Linked DNA regions of Rattus norvegicus. The protein of the gene in region 2 interacts with the protein of the main gene of each other region in a pairwise test. Links are inferred from orthologs where the notes say so. Each region holds a gene or a part of one and is shown on either strand. Other genes may lie near its edges.

Region 1 (10,678 bases), on a different chromosome or scaffold from region 2:
TGTGATGATAATTCTCACAACAATAAGGTATCTGATCGAGGTTGGAATGAAGATTAGATCTAGCCCGAAAATGCTGACAGTCAACGTGTTTAACTAAATGGATCTATAGGATTTTGAAATATTATCATTAAAATGTTTGGTATTCATAGCCCTAAGACCTTAAGAGAAACAAAAATTCGGTAATTCTCACCACATAATGTAATATTTAAAATTTCTAGGGTGCTGGAGAGATGGTTTGGTGGTTAAGAACACCTCCAGAGTGTTTCAGAGTGAATCAGACGGATTCAATTCCCCATGTCCGCAAGATGGTCCATGACCATCTATTACACCAGCTCTATGTGACAGTCTCTTCTGGCTTCCATGGGAAACATGCGCGCGCGCACACACACACACACACACACACACACACACACACACACACACGTACGTGCACACAGACATGCATACACACAGACATGCACACACACGCATACACATGGATGTATACACACAGACACGTGCACACACACTGACACACACAGAGACATGCACACACTCACATGGTATACACACATAAATACATTGTACAGACAAATATGTAAGTAAAACATCCATATAAATAGAAGTTGTTGTTTAAAAAAGTTTTAAAAAACTCTGATTTTAAAATTAAGAATGCTGGGATTTTAAAGATGTGTATCACCTTGCCCTGTTCAAAATTACTAGCTTTAAAAAACTATACTTGGGATTAAATTAATGTGTATACTTTAAAATTTCATGAATTCTATCAATACATAGGTAAAATATTTCATTACTATACATCTTTCTCAATAGTAAACCTCAAAAATATGAAAATGGATTAACCTTACATGTTAATCCCAGATAGAAAATGGGGCTATGACAAAGTCTTCTCTATATTAAGGTAGTTTTAAATAGCATGGAGATGCTAGTTCAATGGACACCAATGTAGAGGAAGAACACAACACACAAGTACTCATGATGTCCCAAATTAAAGCAGTGACCAGAAGTTCCAGCACATAAAGTCTCAAGAATGGAGACAGCCAGGATCTGATCTACAAGTTGTGGTTCCTAATCAGGCCAAAGCTGAGTATAACAGAGGCTCTTCTATATCCTAACACAGGCATATGCACACACACACACACACACACACACACACACATTTAGTCTTTTACTCCCCAAACATGAGAGAACTAATCCATGTTCTTTCTCTGCTACAATAATGATGACCCAGTTTTGTCACGATGTCACAACAGAACCACAGTCTGATTCTGAAGAATTAAGAGGTAACTAACTATATAATAAATCCTTTTTATACCCTTAAAAATAACCATAGTTTCCCTAAGATTTTTTTAAGTTCTAGTATAGATTTAATATGTGATGACATATTCCTTAAATATTTAATAATGATCATCACTTCTTGACCTTTCCTGGCTTACGATCAAGGAAGAAGAATTAATGAATTTATTTGTTTTTTCCCTTTACACCTTTTTTCAGTGTAAGGCAGGACACTGAGAACCCTTCTACTGTCGTCTGAACACACTCAGTGATATACTCAAGAGGCGAGTGAAATTTTGAGAGCTCTTTTTTAGGTAAAATGTGTTTTCATTTCAAGAAAAAACAAAAGGGAGAGAGTATATGACTCAGTCAGTAGAGTGCTTGCCTAGCATGCACAAAGCGCTGGGTTCAAATCCCAGGATCCCATAAACTGGGTATAGTGGTGGACATTTGTGATCTGAGCATCTGGAAGGTGGAGGCAAGAGGACCAGGAACTCTAAGTCCTTTTCAGTTACACTGTGAGTTTGAGGTCAATTCACTAGGCATCTTGTGTTTTTAAAGATGAAGAATAATAACAAAACTCCCTACCACTGGAATTTTTGGTAGCTTCTAAGTTGTGTGAAATCGCACTTAGCAACTCATGTAATTGTTTTAAGTTCATATAGAAATCATAACGATCTCTGGAAAAGCCGTTTCATTTGCTAGGAGGAAACAATATCTTAGAAAGATGAGGCAGGCCTTGTTGAATTATTGCCTTCACCTCTTACTAGATATTTATCTTGGAAAAGGTGTCACAATAAGTAATATCTAGCCCACACACTAGATGTAAGATGGAGATAATAAAAATACAGTAAGTTCCTTTCAAACACACATCATCAACTTCAGTCCCGATCACGTGGTCTCGCTGTTGTATTGCTCAATGTGGCGACCTTTCTTAGCTCCACATTCAGAGACAGTCATACTAACTGCTGCTATGGAAGCGTGACTGCATGTTAGGAATGGAACTGGTGAGCTTCTGGATGTGTATGTAGCCCACAGAGAATGGGGGAGGAATATGCGGTATATCCAAAGGGATGCCTTAAAGAGGGCCAGTGCAATCCAATCTAGTTCAAATGTCTTGTAAGCATTTCTTCCTATCAGTGTAAGGCACTGTTAACTTTATACCTGCACATCCCAAAGGCAAGAAAGTGCATTGTGGCAGTAGCAAACTAAAATAGGTTGAAATTGTTTTTTAATAAAAGGTTATCGATAAGCAGATTCAAGAAAAATCTGACCTCCTAGCTCCCCCCCCCCGGTCAAATTAAATCATTAAAACTTATTCCAAACTGATGCGTATAGAAAATTAAAGTTGATAAGACATTCTGGACAAGGTTCCCACAAACGTGATACTACAGTGTGAATTAATTTGCAGTATATTTCAACAAATCTAAGAAGTATTAGGTGTAGTTCCATTTATTTCAAATCCTTGGCATTACCGTGCTACACCATCTACAGGTAAGCTAAAACCTGGTAACTTTATCCCTGCGACCTAGACGGATAAAGGAGTGATTTTTGGAGAAAAAAAAAATTAAATGCCAGCTGAAATTTATGCCGGTTCACAGATATCTCTGCGGCAGGCTCGAGACGTGAGCTGCTGTGGACAAAATGTGGTAGCAAAGGCCTCAGTGCTTAGGTTTGCATTTCATTCCAGGAGCAGCGGGAAGGCGAGTGCCCGGTTTCAGGGACAAGGCCTTCGTTGGGAATCCATCAAAGAAGTGAGGCAAATAACAGAGTAAAGAGACTCAGGTTAGCAACAGTTTACCTTTTAGCGCCAGCAGGTGCTCCTGTTTGGGGGGATTCACTTCCATTTTGACCGGCACTTCTGACCTCAGCCTATACAGGCTGAAGTTTCACTGGGTCTGGAAGGAAAAGTGCCAGGCACAAGTCCCGGAAGATCGGCCTTCAAACGCACGCTCGACTTCTTTCTGCTCCTGAGAACTTAAATTCTCTTTTCATTAAGTCCTTTACGGCTCCAGTGAAATCTTTTTACCAAGGCCATTCCTTCGTTCAGAAATACACATATTTTCCACACAGGCTGACTTCAACGATCCACTTCGGGCTGACAATACGCGGCTTCCCAAAAGCTTACATTGCCCAGGGGGGGTGGGGGAGGGAGCTACTGTCGTGGCATGCTGGGATTTGTAGTACATTTTATACAAATTTAGCAGTGTACGCAGGGCGGTGGGGGAATGTGGTTCATTTACTCATTCTGACTCGTTTCAGTACTAGAGAAAAAATGTTCCAGGAATGGCATTTTCACCATAAAATTTTATTTATGTTCCATACTTTTAATAAAACACATTTTCTCCTCTCCATTACTCACATACGCCTTTATGGAAAAACAGCTCGCACGCGCAGACCGTACAGCCAATGACTGACGGAGAGAAAAGGTCAGAAGAGGCGGGACGACTCCCCGTCTATCCTGCGCATGCGTGAGGGCGGCACGCGCCGAGGCTTCTGGGTAGGTCGCTCAACCCCTCCTCTCAGTTAAAGGCTCTACTGCAGCTGTGCCGCTGCTCCTTCCAGGATGGCTGCCCTCGCTGTAAACAAGCCCGGAGCAGGAGTAGACAGTGGGCGGCAGGGCAGCCGGGGGACGGCTGTGGTGAAGGTGAGGGAACTTGCGTGCTCTGTTCTCCACCTGCGGCCTCCCTTCGGTTCGTCCTGGAGACCTGGCCGCGACTGTGCGGCCCAGGTTTGGCCGGGCTGGATGCGCGGCCTCTGGTGGGCGTTACAAGACTTTCCTGCCCCTCCGCGGTCCTTGCCCAGCGGAGCTGAAGTTGCCTGGTCTTCTAATTCAAGTGTTAACGTCGTCCGTGGGGCTGTTTGTGAAAAGCACCGCGTGGGCCTGTGAAAGTTGACCCGGACTGGGTCTTGCCCCTAGTCTTCTGTTTCTAGTGATGCCTCAAGAGGCATTAATTGACGTAGTTGTATTAAACACTCATTGCAATAGACAAGTACTATGGTAGATGTTTGAGTTCGCTAATAACTACTTAAAAGGTAGATGTTAATTCGCATTTTACGTGGGAGGAACCCTAGGTTTAAGTTAATACAGTGTGTGCTAAGGGCCCAGAGTTTACTGGTTGTCAACGTCTGCCTTCCAACATTGCACAGCTGTCCCTTGCTTCTGAATAGTAGAGTATGAAAACTTATGAAGTCCCCGACTACAGCACAATTGGGCTTTAACATTAGATGTATGGAGTACTGTCTCCTTAGAAGATTCTACCGAATATTTACAAGCTACATTTACTAAAAGTTAACTAGAAGTATGTGATGATCATTTCCCCCACCCACTGTAACGTAGATCTAAAAGGGGCATGTGGTTTAGGGAGTAACTTGGAAGATTATCTGTAGCCAAGAGATTAAACAACTCTTTCTGAGTGTGTTGATGTCAGGACATTTATTAAATCCCCTGAAGAAATTTTAAAGTACACTTGGATTTATTACAGTGAACCAAGTTTGATTGGACATTCTTTAATAGTAGATATCTGTCTGTCTGTCTGTCTGTCTCTCTCTCTCTCTAGCAAAGGTCTGTTTTTGAGAAATTTATGCCTAAAATTTATCAGTCGTTTTTTATTGGTGTGTTTGTTTTGAATCAGTTAACTTTTTATACTAATGAAATGTAGAGGAGCCCCCATTAAGCATATTTTGTGTTAGAGTTAATATTTTGCTTTTGCCAAATGGGAATACCTGCAGAATATTTTGTCATTCTTTCCCATAATTGGAATAGCATGTTATAATTCTCCTTAATACTTTTTCACTTTATCATATATTCTGCATGTATACATAAAAGATGTAATGGCTGTAGTTTTGGCATATGAATGTACCATAATGTATCTTTCAATTTAGTATTTATATGGATCGTTGCTTGTTTTTAATTATTTAATGATACAGATAGTACTTTAAGGAGTTACATTGATTTTGTCATATGTAGACTGGGGATGTGATTCAGTAGTAGACCATTTACCTGATATAGTCAGGGTCCTGAGATTTCCCAGCAGCAGAAACAGCAACAGCAACAAGGACGAAAACATTTTGATTTTGTCGTGCATGTATGATGTAGTTCCTTAAGAACTGCTAAATTGTGTCCATGGGTGCTATATTACTCAGTAAATTTTTTGTGTCAGGCAGTGGAATTTTTTTCCTGTACTGTAATTAGTGCCAAGCATTAACAGCTTTTTGAAAAACTATCTTCATGTCGTTATTCTCTGTAGAATGAGTTAGATTGAACTCTTAATACAAAGTTTTTTTATACATTTAGCAGATATTTAATTTGTCTCTTTTTCCTTCGAATTATACCACACTTAAGTTTCTTTTGAACTATTACCAGTACGTGAGGTAATTACAAATTACCAGTTTAATTACTGTGAAAGATGTTTGTATCTCAATTTCTAAGTCTAAATGTATTAGAAGATCAAGTTTAAAATTGCAATGGGTCTAATGAGATTTCCACTCTTTAAGTTTTCTATTTTTTTTTTTTATTTTGTGTTGCATGTTTGGTGGCCTGAATTGTGTTTCAGTGTTATTTTGTTGGGTTTTATTTGCATCAGCATGTAGGTGCTTTTGTATCTGGAGTGTACTGTTCTGCACTCTCGTTCTAATAGGGAAAGACAGGTTAGTCTATTAAAGTATTGAAGTATTTGGGTCAGACAAGCAGATAGATATTCAGGGTGCATGGAAAACCAGAGGATAATGTAATAATTGAAATTGGAGTGAGAGATTGGGAGACTAAGAGAGATGGGATTTTTAGGTATATGAATATAAAAACTTTAAAAAAGGAAACCAGTAGGTAAATGTTTAGATGTTTCCTCAGTGTTAATTAGAATAAAGAAGGGATCGAGAAACCACCAACCACAGAAGCAAGTGGTCCTGTGCTGGGATACACATGTAGTAGAGGGGACTGAGAGGTGTGGCAGTGAAGCAAGAGAATGGTAGTCAGTTGTAAAAGCACTGGAAATGCTATATTGTTATAATTACGTTTTGCAGACTATACATGAAATATTAGCCCATGGACCTGAGTGTCAGAGTGAGCCAGTTCTCGCAGCTTTTCTTCCTCACTATCTTTCAGTAAGTCATATACCTGTGATTACTTGTGTAAGAACAGGAATTGAAATTTAATTCTCAGCTAATTTTGTTTTTGCCTTTACATCATTTTGTGAAATCTAGAAGATACTTGAAATTCCTTGGAAACTGTCTTACAAGTTTTTTTATTGTTTAGAAAAGTGATTATCATCCCAATCCACATTTTAGATTGTTTTATTGAAATCAGTGGTAGTTTGGCTGGACACAGTGGCATCTCCTATAGTAACTTCTGGGAGGCAGAGGCAGGAACATTACTATAAGTTTGAGGCCAGCTTGGACTGAGGTCCATTCAGGGGTAGTCAGTGAAACGTCATTTTACAAGGGAATAAAACAGGGCCTAGAGAGATAATAAGCTATTGACAGCACTGAATGCTCTTTTGAAGAACTCGGGTTTGATTCCTAGTACTCCATGGTAACTAAGAACCATCTGTAACTCTAGTTCCAGGAAGTCTGATGCCCTTTCTTGACCTCTGTGGGCACTGCATTAGCATGATGCACCCACCACACATGCAGGCAAGACACCCATGCACAAAATAAAAATAAATCTCTAAACACTTTTTAAAAAGGAAATGAGTGCAAAATGAAATGATTGTTGATTGGGGGTTTCAGTAGAATTATAGATTGTTACATATTTAGTTTTCAGATTATATTATGTTAATTATGTTAATTTGCAATATAAGTATTTCAAGGAGGTTTTACTTTGTCAAGGTCTGTCAAATGGAAATGAGTAAAAATGTGATTTAACATTTTATAGCTTAGTTTTTTTTCCCCATGGAGGAATAAAGTAACAACTACTATGTCAGTTGTTTTTAAATCTAAGATATTTGAATGTTGTTTCAATAGTATTTATAGGGCACATGTTTTTGTTTTACATACTAGGTTCTGGAGTGTGGTGTTTGTGAAGATGTCTTCTCTCTGCAAGGAGATAAAGTTCCTCGCCTTCTCCTTTGTGGCCACACAGTCTGTCATGACTGTCTCACACGCTTGCCTCTGCATGGAAGAGCAATACGTTGCCCATTTGATCGACAAGTGACAGACCTAGGTAGGTAAATTATTTAAATGAGGTTAAAGTGAAAAGTTATTCATGTAACACAAATGTCATAGAACACAGTTCCTTTACACTTGACTTTTTATGTTAAAGTTTGAAGAGCTTTCAAAATTTGAATTTCTATTCAGGTCAGTGAGATCCTAAATGTAAGCTAGCCCTTTTCTTAGTTACTGGTGGAAATCTGAAGTTTCTATATTCTATACTTACTACAAGAAGCTTTAAGAAGTATCAGAAATATATGTTACCCTTATGCAAAGAAATGAGAATACTTTATTCATCACCGGTTAAGTCTTAATGCTCTGAATAAAAAAACCTGTTTTTTTTTTTTTAAAAGATAGTCAAAATATAAAGTCATTTGACTCGTTCTTTCTTTCTTTCTTTTCTTTTCTTTCTTCCTTCCATCCTTCCTTCCTTCCCCCACCCCTCCCTCCCTCTTTCTCTTCCTTTCTTTCTTTCTTTCTTTCTTTCTTTCTCTCTTTCTTTCTTTCCTTTTCTTTTCCTTCCTTCCTTCCTTTCTTTCTTTCTTTCCTTTCTTTCTCTCTCTCTCTCTTTCTTTTCCTTCCTTCCTTTCTTTCTTTCTTTCTTTCTTTCTTTCTTTCTTTCTTTCTTTCTTTCTTTCTTTCTTTCTTTCTTTCTTTCGAGATAAGGATTCTCTGTGTATCCCTGACTGTCCTGAAACATGGTTTGTGGACCAGACTGGCCTCAGCTCAGATCTGACTTCTTTTAGCTCCCAGTTCTGAATTAAAGGTGTGCACCACCATGGCCTGCTAGGTTCTTGCATGCTTTTTTTTTTTTTTTAAGATTTATTTATTTATGTTATGTGAGTACACTGTCACTGTCTTCAGACACACCAGAAGAGAGAATTGGATCCATTACAGATGGTTGTGAGCCACCCTGTGGTTGCTGGGAATTGAACTCAGGACCTCTAGAAGAGCAGTTGGTGCTCTTAACCACTGAGCCATCCCTCCAGCCCCCTTGCGTGCTTTTACAACTACTTCAGAATCAGTGTTGACATATTTTAAAATTTAAAAGTGTGTGTGTGTGTGTGTGTGTGTGTGTGTGTGTGTGTGTGTGTTTACCCAAATCAAGTTGTCAGATTTTGGCAGAAGGTGCTATGTCACTGGCCCAGATTTAGAAAGTACAACATTAACATTTGAACAATTATTTCACAGTTTAATGTAAGTTCTTAATTAATTTTGTAAGATAAAAGAATTTTCCCCAAAATAGTTTTTAAAAAAAACATTTTTTAAAGATTTATTTGTTTCATTTATGGGAGTACACTTTAGCTGTCTTCAGACACCAGAAGAGGACATCAGCTGCCCATTACAGATGGTTGTGAGCCACCATGTGGTTGTGAGAATTGAACTCCAGACCTCTGGAAGAGCAGTTAGTGCTCTTAACCACTGCACCATCTCTCCAACCCCCCCAAATTAATTTTTAAGACTGACCCCCCACCCCCTCAGGTCTTTACCAGTACTTAACACTAGGGCTGGTGAAAGGACTGAATGACTCCTGCAAGTTTTCCCCTGAACTCCATACTTGTTCTGTGGCACCTTTATATATATGTGTGCACACACATCCACACACAGAAAATAGTATAAATGTTATAAAAGACTAATACCATATGTTAAAATCTGAATAATTTATCTACGTATAAAAGGAACCAAGAGTGTCCCTTTCTTAGGCTTTAAAGTACTTAGAAATATGGCTTTGACATGTGTTCTTAAGATTGTGGCTATCTTTATTTGCTAGAAAGCTAATGCAAAACACTAATGACGTCACACAGACAGCATTAACCTACTACCATCCATGAAGTAATAGTGGTGGAAGAGATGTCTCTGTTTTAAGGTTCATCCCTTGACTTTTTTATTCTGTAATTAAAATAACATTACCATTTCTTCACATACAACTAGACATGTAGAAATGATAAAGTTTTGCAGATGTAGGCTAGACCCTTTGGGAGAGCCCTCTACCTTCTCTGTACTACCACGGTATGGGAGTTTATGATAGGACAGTTAGTCGTGTGTCAGGTGGAAACCAAGAGTGCTGCCTTTCCACCATCAGAGCAGCCAGCTCTGGCATGCGTAAAGATGGCAGTGCCTGTAACTTAGGGCACGTTTAACTGAGTTGTTTGCGGACTATCTCCGTGACTTTCAGTTATTATACAGTATATACATATATACACACAGTATGTATACCACAAAAATACCAAGGAGAAAATACCAAGGTAGGTTATTTGCAATTCCTGCTTGTAGAAGGAAGCTGCTCTTACTGTTACCAGTTCCTAATCTGAGCTTTCTTCTGATCCAGTCAGCTGCTACTTCTCATGAGCAGTATTTCTGGCTTTACTCTCTTTGTCCCTATGGTAAATTGTATTTCCCTGCCCTCTAACAATTATGTGTGACTATGATGTTTAAATTTAACTATTGAAAAAGAAACAGAAATCAAGTGTCAACTCTCAACTTCCAGGTAAAGGTTTTTAAGATTGACGATGATCTGAGGGAAACCATCCTTTTTGCAACAGTGAGGTGGTCTACATGAGTGAATGCTCAGTGTTCTACAGCATGCATCGTGGACAACAGAGCTTTCTTGTCTTCCCCAAACCCTAAGGATTTGCAGGAACAACACAAGTCTGAGGTTTTTTAAAACCATACAGCTGGGTTGGGGATTTAGCTCAGCGGTAGAGTGCTTGCCTAGCAAGCGCAAGGCCCTGGGTTCGGTCCCCAGCTCTGAAAAAAACCAAAAAACCATAAAGCTGTGTGTATGCATGCATTTAATTTTTACACTCCAGATTTTATTCCCCTCCTGGTCTACCCTCCGACTGTTCCACATCCTATACCTCCTCCCCGCACCCTTTGTCTCCACAAGGATTTCCCACCCCACCCACCCCACAAGACCTCTAAACTCCCTGGGGCCTCCAGTCTCTTGAGGGTTAGTTGCATCTTTTCTGACTGAACCCAGACCCGGTAGTCCTCTGCTGTATATGTGTCGGGGGCCTCATCTCAGCTGGCGTATGCTGCCTGCTTGGTGATCCAGCGTCAGAGATCTCAGGGGTTCAGGTTAATTGAGACTGCTGGTTTTCCTACAGGGTTGCCCTCCTCCTCAGCTTCCTCTAGCTTTTCCCTAATTCAACCAGAGGGGTCAGCAGCTTTTGTTCATTGGTTGGGTGCAGATATCTGCATCTGACTCTTTCAGCTGCTTGTTGGGTCATTTGGAGGGCAGTCATGATAGGTCCCTTTT
Region 2 (9,298 bases):
CTTTGTGTTTTTATAGGCTTTGTGTTTTGTGTGTTTCTTGTGCTTTTTTTTTCTTTTTCTGTTCTGGTGTTTGTTTTCTAAGGAAAGTGTGGGTGGAGAGGGAAGAGGAAACTGTTTATCAGAATATATTGCATAAAAATTATTTCTGGTGAGACGGTTCAGAGGTTCAGAGGTTACGAACACTGGCTGCTCTTCTAGAGGTCCTGAGTTCAATTCCCAGCAACCACATGGTGGCTCAAGACCATCTGCAATGGGATCTGGTGCCCTCTTCTGGCATGTAGCTGTACATGCAAATAGAGCATCCCTACATTAAAAAAAATATATAATATTATATATTATATATATAATTTTAAATATTTTTCAACTAAAATCATATGTATTTAAAATAAAAAGACTGGAGGGGTTGGGCAAGGAGACTATTTGGAAGACAATGGCTTTCTAGACCAAGCTGGCTGTCTTTGCGTGCTACGCTTTGTCTGGCTAAACAGCTGAGTAGATGCTCTAAGATATGAAGTCCGTAGGTGTGAAAAGAGATGGTGTATGGAAGGGGAGATCCGGAAGCACTTGTTCCTGGCTTGCTTATCAGTGTCCTTTAAACTCCAAACGGATGTCTATGCAGCGGGTGTGCAATCCTTGCACAATGGAAGCTGAAGCAGGAAGCTGCGAGTTTGAGGCCAGTCTGGGATAGAAAGAGCTTTTGTGTGTGCGCGGGTGGAATGAGACATTTGTCTATTCTCATATCCATCATCTGCCAATGAGTAGCGGGTGAGCCCTCCAGACAAGTGGAAGGCAACCTGAAGATGCAGAGATCTCCCCACACTCGAGGAGCCCCTTCAATTCTGAATAACAAAACTCCAGCCACCCTGGGTCTGACCACACCCCACCAGGTTGTGGGGTCCGAGTGGACAAATGATTTCTTGGCTCCTCGTTCTTGATGGGTTCAGTTCGGTTACCTCCAGCCCTCTCGCCCATCAGGTTCCTCATCCCCCTTAAGAAGTGCCCATGCTTCCTGAAGTGTTTCCCAAAACCCGGCCTTGCACTGCGTTCAGAGTCTGGTCAATAGTGTGCTCGATGGCCATTCTTTCCCACAATTCCGCGGCCTTCAAGAGAGGACAGACCTCGCTCGGCTGGCTCCTGATCTCGCGAGAGTACTGTAATGCCCGTTGCAGCCCAGAGTCGCCTTCCCGGGCTTCAGAACAGCATCCTCCCTGGCTGTCCCCCAATCCGGCCACTCGCGCTCCGTTTTCGGATTGGCTGAAGAGCTGGTCAGTTGTTTTCCCATCCAGAAAACGTTTCGGCGACTTGTCCCTCTCTGGCCCCGCCCTCGAAGCCTGCGGATTGGTTGGCTGCGTGTGACGTCACGCGCCTTCGCGTCAGCGGGAACTAGCCAATCACAAGCTTGGCGTATTTTACAAACCGGGGAAGCCTCAGCAGCAGCAGCAGCAGCAGCAGCAGCAGCAGTAGAAATCCAGAAAATCGGCGAAAAAAACCTGAGAAAGTAGAGGTGACCCCGAGGAGCTCCTGGAATGGTGCGGCACGGGGATCTTAGGGGAGTCCTGCCGAGGTTCCTGGGGAGGAGAGCAGTTTGGGGCGAGATAGCAGTCTTGGGTTTCTGGAGGAGTCGCCAGGAGAGAGGCCTTGCTGCCGGTGTGGGCTTCTAGGCACATGGATTAGGACCAAGGGAGAAAAATCAGGGATATCAGCACCCATAGCCTGAGAATGATTTGCTTCGTTCCTCAGTCCTGTCTGCCTTTTTCTCTCGTCTCAATTATAGCCGCCATGACTACCCTCCAAACCAGTAAGGACCCGCACCTCCGAGGTGTATCTCCCAACCCTAGCAAAATTCCAGTACTCTCTCAAAGATGCTCGGATTTTTCCTCAGCCAAGTCGGGCTCTCTGGACCAGGAGAACCAAGATCCAAGGGTAAGAGGGGCATGATGGGTGAAAAGAGTAACCACAAGGAGGCAGCTCCCGTCTGCACTGAACCCCCACCTCCGCGCTGAACCCCAACTTTTTCCCTCTCCCCTCAGAGATCAGCGAAGAAACCACTGCACCGTACTCAACGTCCCCTCACTGACACGGCAGGCCTCAGATCGAAAGCCCTGCACCAGACAGAAAAATCACAAAGACTGAGGATCACTCAGCCGCGGAACCCTTTGGAGGAACTCAAGCCTAGCTCTGGGGGATCAAATGTGGGGCTCACCCATCCCCAGACAGGTACCTGTTGGAGGCCGGGGGACAGCCTACTTGGCGGAGCAAGGATGAGAGACACAAAGTGGGGGTTTTGTATGCCTTCTGGTCTCTTGCATACTGTAAGAGTCCTGGGCCTTGTCCCGGAAGCTCTGTGCTCTATGAAGCCATTACAGCTAAGTGCCACCTTTTGCCTGGCATGGTGACTCATGCCTCTAATCCCAGCACTTTAGGGGGCAGAGGCAGGTGGTCTCTGTGAATCGGAGGCCTTGTCTATATAGTGAGTTCCAGGCCTACACAGTGATATCCTGTCTCAAAAGAAAAAAAAAAAAAATCAACCATCAGTCACATCTTCTGGGCCTTTTCAGCAACCCCAATCAGGACAGTCACCATCAATCGCTCAGCTAAACTGAGTCTTTATAATCTGCCCAAACTTCAGCTTTAACTTCTTCCTTTCAATAATAGTTTTATATTTAAAGATTTATTTTTATTCTGTGTGAGTCCATGCAGTGCCCATGGAGTTCAGAAGAGGACATCAGAATCCCTGGAGCTAAAGTTATAGCCGGCTGTGAGCTATAATTGGCTGTGGGTGCCGGAAATATAACCCAGGTCTCTCAGAAGAACAATGGCTCTTAACCAATAAGCCATCCCTCTAGCCCCTAAGAAGAGGTTATTTTTAATGGTGTATGTGTGGGTGTATGTGATGCTCGTAGAGGACAGGCATTGGATTGTCTTAGAGCTGGAGTTCCAGGCCAGCCACCTGACATAGATGCTGAGAGCTTAAGACCAGTCAGCCCTATGCAAGAAGAGTAACGGTGTGTTCCTAGTCCTCACGGCCTCCCTCCAGCCCCCGGTGATATGCTCTGTATGGCAAAACCTTTGTTTTATTTTATACCCCACTGTCCAGAGCAAAGCCTTACATGAAATTCTTTAAACATTGGTGAGCTTAGGTTCAACCCAATGATCTCTTTCTGTCTCTCAAGATGGCTCTGGGCTCTCTATGAGCTGGCGGCTGGCCTTGAACACCTGGTTCTCTTGCCTCAGTGTCCTAAATTCTGGGATTGTAGCTGTGTGCACCACATATCCTGGCTCTGATGTTTCTTTTGCTCACTGTTGCTAGCCCTCAGTGTCCTCTATTCCTGTCTCCTCTAATCCTGTCTCTTCCCTTTCAGAGGCCTCAGGGGCTATAGAGTTTGTTGCTGACCCTGCAGCCCTGGCCACCATCCTGTCAGGTGAGGGAGTGAAGAGCTGTCCCCTGGAGTCCCGGTCCAGTCTGGCTCAGAGAGTGCTAGTGCGTGAGAGAAAGGGAGGCACCCACATCCAGAGGGGCCAGGTAATGAGACGGATATGAGACCAGGCTAGGGTGGGCTAAGGGGTAAATTCTGAGTCTTGCTGATAGCCTCTGTCGGCGGTCCAGAGTGCACGGTCTTCCGCATACCTGGCTCCCAGAATCCGCGCCCACCAAGCGGATCCCGCCAGGGCTTCCTGCTTCTCAAGGCTGGAGGGCCCAGGGCTCCGAGACCGCACTTTTTCCTCACAGAGGTCAGAGGCTCTGGTGAGTACTCTTGAGGGGCTGACTCTCAGTCCTTCTAGAAGCTTCTTCCTGGAACAGAGTAGGCCTTGGGACAACATCTCAAGATGAAGCCCTGGGCTGTTGGGAGAGATGGGGTGAGGTTTGTGTCAAGCTCGGGGTCTGCTTCTGACTCTGTCCTCCTGTCTTGTCCTGGATCAGAACCCACGTGCAGGTTCCTCCTTTCATTCCTCCGCTCGCCCCAGTTTACAGGAGCTCAGAAGAGAGACCTGTGGCGGTAGCAGGTACAGAGAGAGTAGATTCCCTTTGGACCCCAGAGGGGATGGGCAAACATGTCCCTGGGTGGGGCAATGGGGTTCAGACTCTGATGGCTGGGCCTTATCTCAGACGTGGAGGAACTTGGAGGTACACGAAGGGCTCTTTGATTGGCTACAGTAAATAGCTTTTGAGTTTAATTCCCGACGCTTACCACTGCTAGCCGTGCAGGCTTACCTTAACCTGTCTGTAGCTTGGCTTCCGTATCCATTGGCCAAATGAGGATAGCACCAGTACTGGGAGAAGCTACTGAGATGGTGCTGGCAGAGCCCTTCGCTAATTCCCAGCCCTTGCTTGACACTCAGGGATGGATCCTGTACTGACAGCAGGACCTCAGCAAGCCAGGCCTCGAGACTGCTCCTGAAGACCCCGGTGCAGCCTGGTGAGTGTGTGTGGGTACAGGAGCAAAGCAAGGGTGAAGGCCTGCACCAGGAACGAGGCAGGGGCGTGATCAACGGGCCTTGGGGAGTGGGGGAAGGGAGATGTTGGAAGTCTAGCTCAGTGGTGAGTACTCACCAAGCATCCACATCCCAGAACACACACCCATAACACACAAAGCAGACAAGACCTCCTGGGAAGGCCAGAGGTTGGCCTGGTTGTACATGTGTCTCTGTTTCTGACCTCTCCCTGCCACTTCCTGCAAGACAATTTCTACTGTGTTCTCTATCCCAGTCCCTTGTGAGCCATGGCCACCTCCAGCCCAGCCAGGGCATTGGGATTGATAAGTGTTTGCCAAGGTATTATTGTGCTCTGAGGGGTTGCTGAACGGGTAGACTTTGGTTCTAGACACTACGGTAAACGAACGTCCTGTCTCCTCCCAGCTTCCTTAACCCTCAGAGGAGACCACGAGGCTGTTCCTCACTCAGGTGGAGAAGGAGGACCCAAACTGGGTCTGGCTCAACGAGTTCCATTAAAAGAAAGCCTAACACACACCAGGGTGAGAGGAGACCCTTCTGGGATGGGGCGGGGTGGAATGGTGGCCCACTGAGGATTGTGGGTAGAATCATTAGACCTGGGACTCGAAGTATTTGGTCTTTTGATGGAACTGGGACCACGCCCTCTTCAGGGTAGATCTGACTTCCTTTACTGGGTCTCTGGGGCCTGGGGTCAGAGGTGACAGACTGTTATATATGTCACCTTCAAATCAGTGCCGTGGCCAAGACACGACCAACACTTTTCAACCAACATATTAATTCCTTTATTCCACAGGTATTTGCTGATTGGCTTTTGAATGCAGCCATGGTTCTAGTTCCAGAATATGTATATTCTAGAAAGGGTAGGGGGAAAAAAAACAAAAGAGAAAAAGCCACAAATGTAAAATGTATAGGATGTCACATGGCAGCACGTTCTTTCTAAAGCAAAATGCATAAGGTACTGAAAGGATTTGGAAGGGTAGTTGGTATCATATATTGGTAGTTTAGAGCCATGCTTGGTGGTACACGACTGCAGACCAGCATCTGGAGGCAGGAGCACCTGGGCTGCACCATGGTGAATGTCAGGACAGCCTCGGCTATGTAGCAAGACCTTGTGTTTAAAAATAGAAGGCGCCTGGGTTCGATCCCCAGCTCCGAAAAAAAGAACCAAAAAAAAAAAAAAAAAAAAAAAATAGAAGGCGCGTGTGTGCATGCTTGTAGGGCTGGTAACTTAGCTCCCACTGGCTCTAAACTTACAATCGCCTGTAATTCCCACTTAGGGCATCCAATGCCCTCTTCTGGCACCCAATACACTTACATGTAAATTAGGAAAAAAATTTTAATGTTTGGAAGGGGTTGCTTAAGCAGTCTTTTTACCAAATGTAGTTTGGCTAGGGCACTGTCATTGGGAAGATGAGGCTTGCTTATGAGACCAAGAGGTGAGGCAGGCTCAGACAGCTGGGGGTGGGGGTGGGGATAGGGGGATATTTAACCCTGGGCTGCAGATGCAGAAGCCCTGAGGAAAGGAGGTATCTAGTATTTGAGAGCCAGCAAAACACACAAGTGGGATTGAAGCCTAGGTGAGAAGAGGGTCCAAGACGAATTGACAGTGATGACAGGTGAGATCAGGTAAGGGCGGACAGACCAGTGTGTGTTCTTGTAAGGACAGACAGACAAACCAGTGTAAGTTCTTGGTAAGCACAGACAGACAAACCAGTGTAAGTTCTTGGTAAAGACAGACAGACAGAGCAGTGTAAGTTCTTGGTAAGGACAGACAGATAGAGCAGTGTAAGTTCTTGGTAAGGACAGACAGACAGAGCAGTGTAAGTCCTTGGTAAGGACAGACAGACAGAGCAGTGTAAGTCCTTGGTAAGGACAGACAGACAGAGCAGTGTAAGTCCTTGGTAAGGACAGACAGACAGAGCAGTGTAAGTTCTTGGTAAGGATGTACAAACCAGTATAAGTTCTCGGCTCGTAGTCTGAACAGGAAGCCAGGGGAAAGTGTGAATAGGAAGAGATAATTGGTTTCTCTCTTGAAATAAACGTGCAAGCATGCACATAGTGGGAGGCAGAGGCAGGAGGCTCAGACGTTCCAAGCCAGGCTCTAAGTTGCATGGGCCCCTAAGGAGCAGCTGCTGCAGTGGTGAGAACAGGAAGAATAAGACACAGGAGGGAGAATTCAGGAGGCCACTCTTCCTACCTTTTTCCTCCAGTGACAGTGATGGCTCTCTGCACCCTCTCCTGTCCCTACAGCCCAGCCCATAGCCAGCCATACAGTACCTACCACCTTTCTCACCAAGCAGTCACCTTTTTAGACAGGCTGAGGCGTTTGCTCCCCAGGCCTCTCAGCTGTGATTTGTGTCAACAGCCCTTGGGCTGGGCAGGATAAGAAGTGTTTGGCTGGAAAGCCATGTTCACTCAGCCAACCACATCTCTCCTCAGACCACATATTCATCCATGAAACGCTTTACCACTCGACGGAAAACCCAATTCACACCCCTCCGGTCACTACCTAGAGTCCAGCAGGTAAGAGAAAGCAGAGGAGGTAACCGTAACCAGTGTGGGCTGGGACTAGGGAGGAAGGGAGAGGGCAGGCAGGCACTAGATAGGGATGGGGGTAAGGTATGACAGGCCGGAGGAGTGGGTGTCACTCATGGGTGGTCTGTCCTGTCTGACACAGGCCCAATGGCTGAGTGGCCTCTCTCCTCATTCCTCCCCTGAAGAGCCTGCCCTGCCCTGGGTAAGTGTCAAAAACCTTCCTGTACTGAGGTCTGTGGCACTCCCCCACGGCCTGGAGGGCTGGCAGCCTTGTGATTTGAGGTAGGTGTATTTGCTGTTCGCCTCTCCTTCCTATTCAATATTTAGAATGTCAGTCTATCTCTATCTATCTTCTGCTAGTCCCACACTTTGAAAAAAATTATTCTCTCTCTCCTCTCTCTCTGTGTGTGTGTGTGTGTGTGTGTGTGTGTGTGTGTGTGTGTGTGTGTGTGCGCGCGCGTGCGCATCTCAACAGCCTGAGCTGCAAACTTTTGATTCTCCCGCCTTTGCTTCTCAGGGCTAATATCTGCTCTATCGTAGGCCTGCCACACCATACCTGGTTTTTAGAAGAACGACCAGGGAACTTTGATCCATTCCAGGAGGGTGGGGACAGTATTCTTTCCCACCTCAATGTGGCTTCTTCACCCGCCCCCTTTCCTTCTGTTTCAGGAGCAGATTGCTGTGAAGTTGTTTGACCAGGAGAGTCTCATCGCTTTGCAGAAGGGACCTGGGAAACCATCTGTGGCAAGCACTTCTGGACCTCAGTCCACGAGAACCCCCAGCCACCAGGAGCTAAAGATGCAGGTGGGCCTGTAGGGGCCGCAGCTCTGATGGCTTCTCCTCCACAAGAAGGCTGGGGAGGGGGAGCGGGGAGAAAGGCTGGGGGTGTGTGACAGGGGCCTTGAACACACAGTGGTGACACGCTGGGATACTCTCTCCCACCACAGCGCATCCATATTTTGCAGCAGCTCTTGCGGCAGGAAGTAGAGGGGCTGGCAACGGGCAATTGTGCAGCTCTGAATGGAGGCTCCGCTTTAGATACGACCGAACGTCAGCCCCCAGTGGCTGAAGACTCTAGCACTCTGAGTGCTCCAGCACACAAGTCTGAAACTCCCCTTGCACTGCCAGAACACTCTGGTGTGACAGAGGCCCTCCCTGCGGAAGAGCGTGAGGAGCCACAGGCTTGCCCTGGGGAAGACACTAAGGAGTCACAGCCCTGCTCTACCACAGAACTAAAGCCCCCAGTGCCACATAGAGCTGAGCCAGAGCCGCCAGCACCTTGCCTTCCAGCACTGGCAGGACCCCCTCTGCCTAGTTGTCGGGGACAGGCTGAGCCCCCTGAGGCTCGCCCTGGGATACAGCTGGGAGCATCGGCAGCCAGCGCTCTGCAAGCTGGAAACCCAGAGTCTAGCCCAGAGCCCTGTTGCAGTCAGGGGCCTCCAGCAGCCACCAGCCTGACCTCGACACAAAGCCCAGTGTGTGCCAGCTTCCCTATCCACTCACTGCACTCTTCGAGATCCCCGACAGGCCGCTCAGGTAAGGAACTGGCTGAGAAAGACCATGAGGAAAGGGCCCTGTCTGGGAGCGGGTCCTGCCTTGCACCTCCCCATGCCATGCTTTATTTCCCCTGTACTTCTAAGTGGCTGTGCTCATAGGGAGGTGCGGGGTGGGGATGGGGGGGGGGTGGACCTGGAAGAAATATAACTCCAGAGGCCCCTCTGAATTCTCCATGGCCTTCAGGCCCCAGCAGTGTGGCCCCTCGAACCCTGGCCCTGAGGCAGCGCCTCAGAGCTTGTCTCACCACCATCCACTGTTTCCACGAGGCTCGCCTGGATGACGAATGTGCCTTCTACACCAGTCGAGCCCTGCCCCCAGGGCCTACCAGGGTCTGCACCAATCCTGTTGCTACAATGCTTGAATGGCAAGATGCCCTGGTGAGCCTTTGGTGTATAGCCAGCACGCCGCAAGCCTGTGGGACAGTGGCAGGCTGACCTTGCCCTCTCTATGGAGAAGTTATGGAATATGACAGCCCTCTTCTTTTTTTTTTTTTTTTTTTTTTTTTCTGCAGCGTTTCATTCCAGTTGGCCCTGTGGCCCCACAGGACTCTCCGTCGTGACTCTGGCCTTTTCTGGGCTTCTGCCCTGCTGTACTCACCCCTTCCTTTAGCCTTATTTATTGTCGACCTGCCCATTGGACTGGGAGCCAACGCCCTTTTATCCTTTATAATAAAGTTTCTATAAATTGTGTTTGAATGGGGCAGCCAGAGCTGTTGCTCTCCAGTGGCCCACATGGTGGCAGTGTGCTCCAATTT
Region 3 (10,742 bases), on a different chromosome or scaffold from region 2:
GCTTTGGCGGTGGAGGTCGAGGTCGAGGTGGAGGAGGCGGTGGCTTCAGGGGACGAGGAGGTGGAGGTGGACGAGGTGAGCGAGGTAGACATGGGGGGCTAGAGCAGGTTCTCAAAGGACATAGGAAGGGAAGACGTGGGGGCCTCCCTCTCCTACTGCAGCTCTCTCTTACAGGTGGAGGCTTCCAGTCTGGGGGCGGCCGGGGTCGAGGTGGTGGCCGGGGAGGCAAGAGAGGAAACCAGTCAGGGAAGAATGTGATGGTGGAGCCCCATCGGCATGAAGGAGTCTTTATCTGTCGCGGAAAGGAGGATGCCCTTGTCACAAAGAATCTGGTTCCTGGAGAATCTGTGTATGGAGAGAAGAGAGTCTCTATCTCCGTGAGTTCCGGACCCCTGTCCAGAGTACAGGCCCAGCTGATAACATTGCTTACAGTCTAGTCTTTTTGCTATTGTGTCCTACAGAGGACCAGGCAGGCTGTAGCTTCAGAGCTGCTGCAGATCCCAGCTCCCCCTCCCAATTCCCTGGCCTTGTCTTCTAGCTCCATACTAAACTGTTTCCTTGTCCTCTGCCTCTGGTCACACACTGCCTGCTCCTTCTGATGAGGCTCTTACATCGCCCTCCTTGTCTGAGCCGTCCTCACTGCCACAACCTAGCTCTCCCATGTCCTTGTCTCTATGGCCATCCCTAGGCTGCCTTGTTCATCTCCCACTCTGTGTCTGCAGTGTTCTTCCCGGGGTGGTGTGGGTGGCTCAAAAGTGTCCCCAGCCTTTCCTGGTCTGTTTCCCTTTTCACACTTTCCTTGCTCTGTTCTGATTTCAAATCCTCTCCTGGCTTAGTCTGTATAGCCTGTCACCTGTGCCGGTTTGTACTTAATTCAGTGACTTAGTTCAGAGAGTACTTACCTCTTAGGGCAGAATATGTGTTCTACTCACTGTTGTCCAGCACCTGAAACTGGTGCTAGGACAGGACATAGTGCCTAGTGCTTAGTTCTGTCTTTCACTTCCGTGTTTACTGTATGTTATTCCCTCCCCGAGTCTCCATGGGAGGGCAGAATGGCTTCTCTCCTGGTCCCTGCTGTACATCTGCATTTTGTTCTTACATAGTGATTAGAATGCACTTTCTTTTGAGGGCCCTAGGGTTACAGGGAATGATGCCCTGCACAAGAATCCAACACTGATTCTGTCCCCATCTCTCCTGGCTCAGGAAGGAGATGACAAAATTGAGTACCGAGCCTGGAACCCCTTCCGCTCCAAGCTGGCCGCAGCAATCCTGGGTGGCGTAGACCAGATCCACATCAAGCCGGGGGCCAAGGTGCTCTACCTTGGGGCAGCCTCAGGCACCACCGTCTCCCACGTGTCTGACATTGTTGGCCCGGTGAGTGGGCAGGTTATGGGGATGGAGGAACCTAAGCCAGGCTCATCCCTCATTCTGTGAGAGGGACAGCTTGAAGCAGAGTTCTTTCAGTACCACTCCTGCTTGTAATTGTGAACCAGAGAGTGTAGTCAATTAAAGTAACCCAGAGCTGGGAATATAGATACCAGACTATTTTGGTTGAAAAAGTTATGTCCAAGGGCTAAAAGGGGAGATTCAATCATTAAAGTGCTTGCCACACTGTCATGAGTACCTGATTTTGATACCCAGAATCCATTTTGAAAAACAAAACCAGTGTGGCAGTATACCCTCATAGGAACAGCATGAGAATGCAGCAACAGGCCAGTGGTCTCTGGCCTGCCGAGCCGTCAGCACCGGTGAGAGACCTTGTCTCAAAAACATGATGGGTCTAGCCTTTAGTCTCAGCACTGGAGAGGCAGAGGCAATAGATCTCTTGAGTTCAATGCCAGCCTGATCTACACAGTGAGTTCCAGAACAGCCAGGATTACACAGAAAAAGGAAAAACAGGGTTTCAAAAAAAAGAAAAAGGAAAAAAAAAGGATGGTTAGAGTTCCTGAAGGAGTGGTACCTAACATCATCCTCTGGCTTCCACACACAGAAGCAAGGCATTCATGTCCCCCTGACCCAACCCCAGACCCACTCAACTATTGGGTGTTGGACCTAGGGCTTCTTGAAATGCTAGGCAGGTATGCTGACACTGAGTTACATCCCAGCTTTGGTTTCTGCTAATGGACGTATGTTCTCTGGCAGTACAGGATCCCAGTGCAGAGAGCACCTAGTACTTGGGAGTCTCACTTGACAGCTTCTCGCTGCTTGACTGAATTATAAAGTGTTTAATTAGTGAAAGCACTAGCCTTGTAACCCTAGCCTCTTCTAAAACCAAACAGCAACAACACTCAGACTTGGATAGGCATTGGCAGTGTGTGGCTTCATATTTCCTGTAAGTGCTGCTCCGTTACAAATGCTATGAGCTCTGTTCCTTCATCTCTATCTATCCTGGATGCCTAGATTTTTACCCTGTGTTGGGAGCCTGTCCTCACGGGTCAGATTATTAGGATCTTAAAACTTGGTTGCTTGGGAATAACATGGCTCATGACTTCTCATAGTGGCAGTAATTTCAAAGCAGGGGTTTTGATTGAGGGTCTGAGAACCTGCTACAAGTGGCACTCAAGCCCAGTCAGTGTTGACGACTACTGGAGTACCAGTGTGTGCTCATCGATGCTGGGTCAATTTTAGGATGGTCTGGTCTACGCAGTTGAGTTCTCCCACCGCTCTGGCCGTGACCTCATCAACTTGGCCAAGAAGAGGACCAACATTATTCCTGTAATTGAAGATGCTCGGCACCCACACAAATACCGCATGCTTATTGGTGAGGGCCCTGGGGGTGGTCCACAGAGGGTAGGATAAGCCACTGCATGTTTCTCAGGGGATGCCTATGGAGCCTGAATTAGGTGGAGTTAGAGTTAGAGCAGCCTCTTCACTGCAACAGTGTGAAGATTGTGTCAGGGTCAGTTCTGCTACGCTCTAACACTCGAGGCCTTTTTTTTACACTGCCCTGGCTTGTGTTTTAAAGCCATTATTTGATGAGATTCCAGTCCTGGTCACAGCAAGTATAACTCAATGGCTTTTTTAAAAACACCTCGAAAGTCTAGTATAAAAGTGGAGGGCCTTGTGAGTTCCCCTAGAGATACCCGATACTTGTTGCCTGCTTTTCCAAACACTTAAAGGATGTTTTTACTCCATCACATTTTTTGTTTTGAGTCACGCTACCTTAAACCATTACCTTTCCATTGTGCTTCTTTGGTTTTTATGGGGTTTGGTTTGGGTTTTTTTGTTTTGGTTTGGTTTTTTGTTTTTGTTTTGTTTTTTAACCTGTGCATTTTCTCAGTGCACCCAGCCCGTCCTCTGGTCCTTGTCATTTGACAGCCCTTCCCACATCTTGTCTTTAACTGCTCAACTCACATTTACTTGTCTTTCTGATGAACCATCTCTCCCTTCCCCTCCCCTCCCATCCCACCCCCCCAGACCTGGGAGGATCTCGAAGGCAGGGTCCGGATCTCTCTGTGTGTCCCCCACACCCAGCCCAGGGCTGGCCACAGAGTAGGTGGCAACTGTTGGCTTATAAGAGGAGCGGATGAGTGAAGTGACTTAGGTTCTGGTTCCACCTTTGGGGTGCTTTGGAGGGAGTGGCTGGGAGTAAGACTGGAGGCAGAGGAGTCCCAGGAACCTGGTGGTGAAACAGCACAAGGCCCTGTTGGGAGGCTCTGGAAAAGTTTCTGCAGACTTCTGTTTTTAACCGCTGTCCCATTTTTCCTTAGCAATGGTGGATGTCATCTTTGCCGATGTGGCCCAGCCAGACCAAACCCGAATTGTGGCCCTGAATGCCCACACCTTCCTGCGGAATGGAGGACACTTTGTGATTTCCATTAAGGTATGGATCTTGCAGTGTCAGGTTGAGTAGCAACAGCGAACGTTGTGGATGCTTGATCTGTCCTGGCTGAGCAAGTTACTTAGCTGAAGCCTGTTTGACTTGGTCTATTAGTCTTCTCTGTGGTTGAAGATCTATAAGTGTTAGGCATTTGGAACAGACTATGGGGTAGAATAATACTAACTGCAGCAGGTATGGTTCTCAAAACATTTGTTTAAAATATAGAAAACTCTCAGGCATCCTCACCATCTTCAGAGCCTATTGCTACATTTGTTCTATTGCTGCCAGCTGGCCTTCAGCTGTTACCGGAATATGGAAGAGTGTTCCTGACTTTAACCACTGCCTTAGATAAGGGAAACAACCTGTTTCCAGTCTGAGCTAAATTAAAATGTCTTTTTTTTTTTTTTCCGGAGCTGGGGACCGAACCCAGGGCCTTGCGCTTGCTAGGCAAGCACTCTACCACTGAGCTAAATCCCCAACCCTAAAATGTCTTTAATGTAGGAAATTGGCTAAGTCTGCATCTCCAAATCTGTAACAAAGACATGCTTTTAGCTTAAAGTCTTTTCTCCTCTCTAGGCCAACTGCATTGACTCCACAGCCTCAGCAGAAGCTGTGTTTGCATCTGAAGTGAAAAAGATGCAGCAAGAGAACATGAAGCCTCAGGAGCAGTTGACACTAGAGCCTTATGAACGAGACCACGCTGTGGTTGTAGGTGTGTACAGGTAAGTACCAGAATAGACCTCTCCCTTACTTTGGGCCAGAGCTTCCAGGGCCTGAGAAGCTAAAATTGGTTACAACTCGACCCACTCTGATTTCCTCACAGGCCACCTCCCAAGGCGAAGAACTGAAACTCGACTGTCTGGATTGAAGAAATGTGTGTTGTTGCTACTGTTGCACATGTGGCTTTTGACTTTTTGCAGGGGATTTTTCTATTAAAAGACTAATCTGTCTTCCCTGTCTGGTGCTGATTGCTCAGTGGCCTCAAGACGCATGCGTCCTTGATCAACTTTGTGTGGTGGTGGTGGGGGGTGCCTGGAAAGTTTCATCCGGTCACATGGTGCACGTTCCATTGGTGGCTGCTACGCACGTGCGCGGCTCAGCACCCTTAAGGCGCAGGCGCACAGTGCTCCACTAGGTCACGTGAGGGGTGTGGGGGCGGAGCCGGGACAGGGGGGCCGGTTTGTTGTGGTCGCCATTTTGCTGGTTGCATTACTGGGTAATCGGGGCCCTGGCTCGCCGCGTCCACCAGACACCCTCAGCCAGTGGGCAGGTCTGAGCTCGGGCTTCCCGAGCAGTTTGAATCCCCTTACCCACGCCCTCAGGTAACGGTACTGCGACGGGCGGGATGGCACGCTTGAGTGGGGGGCAGGCCCGGACCCGCCCTGCCGGTCCCCGCGAGATTTAGCAAGGGAAAGGAGGGGGCTTCAGGCCAGTGCAGCGCAGCCCGGCACTTCACAGCCGAATTCCTGGAAGGGGCTAAGCCCGAGGGAGCTGTCTTGAGGGGGAGCCTGGGAGGGGGGCAGCCCGGCCCCACTCCCGCCCTTTGTTTGGGCTCGGCTGCGCTGGCCGCTTCGCTGTCGCCTAGCAACAGCTGCCCTGACTGCTAATTGGTTAAGCTCTTGGCAGCAACAACCAATAGCGCGGTTGTTGCCATGGGAGGTGCGGCCTGCCGGGTTCACTTGTGCCCCGCCCGCCGGGACTCCACCGGCCGGGGCGGGCCTGCCGGGTGGGGGGCGGGACGCCAGGGTCCCTGGGGGCGGGTGGCCACGCGGGGCGGGGCTGGGCCGTAGGGCGAGGGTTAACCCGCCCCTCCCCCGTCCACCTGCTGTCCCCTTCCCCCGCGTGCCCTGGTCTGACCCTCGTCCCCTCCTTTTCCCGCCCCTCCCCCTCGGTGGCAGTGGCGGCGGCTGCTGTTGTCACCCACCGGGCCGCCTGTCCCGCTTGCCCTCACTGCCGCGGGGCTGGCTAGGCTAGCCGGGCCGGGGACAGGCGGCCACCTCCTCATCGCCGCCGCCGCCACCGCCGCTGCCGCCATGCTGGCCGCTCGCCCACCGCACTGGGGCCCCCATCGCGCTCCAGCCCCCCGTGGGCCCAGCGCCAGCCCTGACCCGGGTAGGGGTGGGTGCTGGAAGAGCTGGTCCTAGTGTGGGAGGGCTTGGGGAGAGGTTGTTTATCTGTGAAGCTCCAATAAAGGGGACCTGGAGTAACAGGACAGGATAGAAGGGAATCTGACAAGGGGGAAGCTCCTAGGGAGGGGATTTTGTTCCGAAGGACACTTAGAGGGAGTGAAGTCTTGTGTGATATTTAGGGATTTGGCTTGTCGGGCCCTTCTAGGAATAGGCTCAATTGTGGAATGACCCCGCTTAGAAATGGAGGAGATAGCAAGGATCCCAGGATAAGGAAGAAAAAGACAGTGACTCTTAGATGTTGAGAAATTACACCTCCCCCTTGTTTTCCTAAGGAGTTGGGGTCTTGAAGTAATAAGAAAATACTAGTGGGATAAATATAGACTACTTAGAAGAAGAGTCCCTGGTGCGGGAGACCTCATATAGGGAGCAGGGAGCGGTCTTGGTGGAGTATGGAGTTGGTCCCAGGGGAAAGTATGCCATGTTGGTTGAGACATCTATAGCTCGCATGTAAAGGAGTTCTCAAATAACCTTGGTTTTGCTAGGAGGTCCACAAGGACTGCTATGTTCTTTAGAGAGAACTAGTGGGTAGGCTAGGCTTGAAATTGGGCCCTCACTGTTGAGGGAAGACCATGTGAGGGCGGTGCCTTTTCTGAGGGACTCAGGCTGGCCACCGGCAGAATTTCAAAGAAAGCCTGAATTCTACTACCCAGACTACTCGGTTTCTGCCTTCTCTTTTGCTTTCCTAATTCCTGGCCTCTTTCTCTCCTTCCTGCCCTGGCCTTGTACCAGCCCTTTCCCACCCCTGTCTGGTTTGATGATTCCCTTTTACATTTTTCTCAATGTGATGCCTCATTCATTCATTTGGCTCATTTGTTGAGAGACATGGCTGTTTTAACCCACTTGCTACCCGTTTCTGTTTCTACATGGCTACCTGGTGCTTGTGCTCTGTCCTGTTCCCTGTCTCCCCCTGGTCCTGCCCTCTAGTTCATGCCCACTTCTTCTCTAACTGACCCTGACCTCCACACCTTCTTGTTTCATGTTGTCCTCCCACTTTCTACCTGCTCTCAGGTCTCAGCGGCGGTGGCAGCCGAGGTGCAGGATGCGAGAAGGCGCCCCCCGGCCGGGCTCCCGCTCCAGGCCTCACACCCCTGCGGCCCTCTGAGCCCACCATGGCCGTCCCACCAGGCCATGGTCCCTTCTCTGGCTTTCCGGGGCCCCAGGAACACACACAGGTAGGCATTGAGCAGGCTTCTCACCTGCCTGAAGAGTGAACGGCCTCCAGACAACAGCATGGTTGTTGGAGGATCTCTGGGGAGTTTGGAGGCCTCACAATACTAAAAGAGTTTCAGGTAGTTGGACTTTGAAGAATCCACCCTCTTTCCTGCTGAGGACTGAATTCTTGAGCTTCTCCATAATGTGTGTCTTGGGGTCAGAACTGTCACTGGCACAGAGCAGACAGAAAGAAACACAGGTCTGAGTGTTCACGAGAGAGAAGCCTGAAAGAAATCTAGAGGGGGCCAGAAGGAAAATGAGCTGAGAGCAGTGGGAGACCCAGGGAGACTAATCCCAATCCAAGAGCTTTTTAATTGGGCAGAGATACTTACTTGAGAGTAAGGACAGGAAATTCAATAGCATTGTTCCCAGAAACAGTGGTCTCAGGTGCAAAGACTCAGGGGACAGAACCCAGATACGGAGCAAAAGACCTAGGGCTGAATGGAAGGTCAGAGGTAAACCACTCACTTCATATAATGAACGGATGAGTGGAACCCACAGTGTGTGCTTGTGCTCCTATACAGGATGCGATCAGAGCTAGGGAAATGTAGGCATGGTCAAATGAGGTGTCAGCTTTACCCTTCTCTCCTAGAAGTTGGAGGTGAAGGCTTGTGCTCAGTGTCTGCCTCCCTCTGCCACAGGTATTGCCTGATGTGCGGCTACTGCCACGGAGACTGCCCCTGGCCTTCCGGGATGCGACCTCGGCCCCGCTGCGCAAGCTCTCAGTGGACCTCATCAAGACCTACAAGCACATCAATGAGGTGAGTGGGGAATGGACTTCTGTGGTTGGGTGTTGAAAGGGGTCCTGGCTTCTTGCCTGGATCACTAAGGGTCCAGTTTCCTGGCTGCCTGAGCAGGTATACTATGCGAAGAAGAAGCGGCGGGCCCAACAGGCGCCACCCCAGGACTCGAGCACCAAAAAGGAGAAGAAGGTCCTGAATCACGGCTATGACGATGACAACCACGACTACATTGTGCGCAGCGGCGAGCGCTGGCTAGAGCGCTATGAAATTGACTCTCTTATTGGCAAAGGCTCTTTTGGCCAGGTGCGAGGTTCCCCCGCTCGCCCAGTGCCTGGGTGATGCAGACAACCACTTGGTTACCCCGCTTCCTCCTCCCAGAGTGTTCACTTGCTAAAAGTCCTGCCCTGGGCCCGCCACTCAAGCCACTTAGTTTCCCTGTCTTAGTTCTGGATGAGTATAAATCACAAGACTCTTTGAAAGAGAACTGTTGTTACTTTTTATCCATTACAAGGGATGTGAGCACTGGGCTGTGAGTTGTTAGAAAGGTATGGCTGGTGGGCCTCTCGCTTACCCAGGTAACTCTCCTTGTCTGGACAGGTGGTGAAAGCCTATGATCACCAGACTCAGGAGCTGGTGGCCATCAAGATCATCAAGAACAAAAAGGCCTTCCTGAACCAGGCACAGATTGAGCTGAGGCTGCTGGAGCTGATGAATCAGCATGATACAGAGATGAAGTACTACATAGGTAAGGCCTGGGTGGGTGCAGGGCGCCTGGCATAGAGAGGCCTCCACTGAGGGCTGAGGGCTCCTCAACCTCTGCTGTGGTCATGATTTCTCCTTTCTGCTCACTGAGGGCCAGACTCTGGCAAACACTTGCCATGAACTACCTCCCCCAAGCCTGGTGAGGGACAGGGCAGCTTTGTGGACGTGTTGGAAAAACGGAGGCACTCAGTGCTGTCACATGCATGAGGTGACAGTTCAGGCTCAACAGTTGATAATGTGAGAAGCAGTGACATCTAGAGCTATGGCTCTTGTGATATGTCCCAGTCTTCAGTTCCTCTGGAAAGGGATTCTTTAATAAAAGGACAGCCAGTATCCCTTGCCACACAGACAGCAAAGACAAAAGCAGGTTCTTTTGATAGTTTGGGGTTTTGGGTGATGGTGATATTTTTGGAGGTTTTGTTTTGCTATTCTGGGGATCAAACCCCGTGCTTCATAAATGCTAGGCAAACAGGTCCTCCCTTCAAACATCCCCGACCCCAGAACATCTCCAGACCTTTTTTTACTTCATTATTTTGAGCTAGGGTCTCACTAAATATATCCAGATGTACCTCGAGCTAACAGTCTTTGTGCATCAGTGTATCCCAGGCCTGCTGGTTCAGCATTGTAAAATGAAATGAGGAAGCATGGAGCTGTTTTTTTTTTGTTTGTTTGTTTGTTTGTTTTTTGTTTTTTCGGAGCTGGGGACCAAACCCAGGGCCTTGCGCTTGCTAGGCAAGCGCTCTACCACTGAGCTAAATCCCCAACCCCGCATGGAGCTGTTTTAAAGCTTTAATTTCCCTTTGCAGTGCCGGGGCTTGAACCCTGGTCCTTGTGCTTGCTAGTCAAACATGCTACTGCCCTTTGGTCATCCCATAACCTATAGGTTACACCATCTTTTGGGGTTTTGTTTTGTTTTATTCTGGACTTCACTGTGTAAGCCAAGCTGGCCTTGAGCTCCTCATTCGCCCATTTTATCTTTCCAACCGCTGGGATGACAGTCATGCTCACTAACTACTTCCTACTGGCAGAGCCCTTCCTTTTGGTAAAAACTGGAAGGTATGAGAGGCTCGAGAATTAACATGCCTTGGAAGTCCAGTGAGTCGGTGTAGAGACAAACACCTTAGGGCTCACTGCAGTTTGCCTGAGGTGGTTACCATTGGTCCCAGCTTCCCTGCCGCCAGTGCATCTAACCTGTTGCCCCATCGACCGCAGTACACCTGAAGCGGCACTTCATGTTCCGGAATCACCTGTGCCTGGTGTTTGAGCTGCTGTCCTACAACCTGTACGACCTCCTCCGCAACACACACTTTCGCGGTGTCTCACTGAACCTGACGAGGAAGCTGGCACAGCAGCTCTGCACAGCCCTGCTCTTTCTGGCCACGCCTGAGCTCAGCATCATCCACTGCGACCTCAAGCCTGAGAACATCCTGCTCTGCAATCCTAAGCGCAGCGCCATCAAGATTGTGGACTTCGGCAGCTCCTGCCAGCTTGGCCAGCGGGTGCGGTTCTGACTGTGGGCAGCGCCAATGTCTTCCGTGGGATGCGGTGGGAGGACGGTTTCATTTTGGCCCTAGAAGCTGATGACCAAGAGATGATATTGGGCAATGGGAAGCCCCCTGGAGAGAGGTGGTGGGAAGTGAAGGGGCAAAGATGACCCAAGCAAGGAAGAGAAAGGGTGAAGCTGAGGGCCAGGCACTCCTCAGAGGAGTGGAGTTGTGACCTGAGCCTCAGGCTGCTTTGCTGACTGCTCACAGGTTGAGGACCATGAAGTTTTTCAACCCCATGTGAGCAGACCAAGCCCTAGGGGATATACTAATGTAGTACAGTATGGAATAGCCAGCCTCTTAAACCAGAAGGACCAGAGCTGGGAGTGCAGACAGGGTTAAAGCAGGAAGGTCATTGAAGACTAGAGGTTAATGAGCAAGACAGTGACTGGCTGCAGAGAACCTCACAACCTAGAGGGTCCATCCTGTTTTCAGGCAGGGGCTTGTCTACAGTTGAATCTTCCAGTGGAAC

The links.
Region 1: the proteins of Troap (region 2) and Trim23 interact in binary tests that used the Homo sapiens proteins (3 or more experiments, as listed by UniProt). The two-hybrid records come from large-scale screens. The link is inferred for Rattus norvegicus from reciprocal best matches to the Homo sapiens genes TROAP and TRIM23.
Region 3: the proteins of Troap (region 2) and Dyrk1b interact in binary tests that used the Homo sapiens proteins (3 or more experiments, as listed by UniProt). The link is inferred for Rattus norvegicus from reciprocal best matches to the Homo sapiens genes TROAP and DYRK1B.

Annotation. Positions count from the first base shown.
Region 1 is NC_086020.1:37,032,444-37,043,121, forward strand, and holds the start of Trim23 (E3 ubiquitin-protein ligase TRIM23), read left to right. Parts: upstream 1-3,761; 5' UTR 3,762-3,838; coding exon 3,839-3,919; intron 3,920-6,294; coding exon 6,295-6,375; intron 6,376-7,269; coding exon 7,270-7,432; intron 7,433-10,678. Other genes in the region: Trappc13 (trafficking protein particle complex subunit 13), read right to left, coding at 3,074-3,119.
Region 2 is NC_086025.1:132,112,058-132,121,355, forward strand, and holds Troap (tastin), read left to right. Parts: upstream 1-1,430; 5' UTR 1,431-1,529; intron 1,530-1,774; 5' UTR 1,775-1,779; coding exon 1,780-1,923; intron 1,924-2,030; coding exon 2,031-2,217; intron 2,218-3,362; coding exon 3,363-3,523; intron 3,524-3,607; coding exon 3,608-3,745; intron 3,746-3,828; exon of another isoform or gene 3,829-3,922; coding exon 3,923-4,005; intron 4,006-4,341; coding exon 4,342-4,418; intron 4,419-4,708; exon of another isoform or gene 4,709-4,721; coding exon of another isoform or gene 4,722-4,773; intron 4,774-4,857; coding exon 4,858-4,973; intron 4,974-6,891; coding exon 6,892-6,975; intron 6,976-7,129; coding exon 7,130-7,189; exon of another isoform or gene 7,190-7,269; intron 7,270-7,656; coding exon 7,657-7,791; intron 7,792-7,934; coding exon 7,935-8,523; intron 8,524-8,727; coding exon 8,728-8,921; intron 8,922-9,055; coding exon 9,056-9,103; 3' UTR 9,104-9,239; downstream 9,240-9,298. UniProt on the Homo sapiens protein: Could be involved with bystin and trophinin in a cell adhesion molecule complex that mediates an initial attachment of the blastocyst to uterine epithelial cells at the time of the embryo implantation.
Region 3 is NC_086019.1:92,601,738-92,612,479, forward strand, and holds the start of Dyrk1b (dual specificity tyrosine-phosphorylation-regulated kinase 1B), read left to right. Parts: upstream 1-5,716; 5' UTR 5,717-5,853; coding exon 5,854-5,932; intron 5,933-7,017; coding exon 7,018-7,181; intron 7,182-7,862; coding exon 7,863-7,982; intron 7,983-8,078; coding exon 8,079-8,267; intron 8,268-8,561; coding exon 8,562-8,709; intron 8,710-9,938; coding exon 9,939-10,225; intron 10,226-10,742. Other genes in the region: Fbl (rRNA 2'-O-methyltransferase fibrillarin), read left to right, coding at 1-75, 175-377, 1,204-1,374, 2,629-2,761, 3,711-3,823, 4,397-4,542, 4,644-4,668.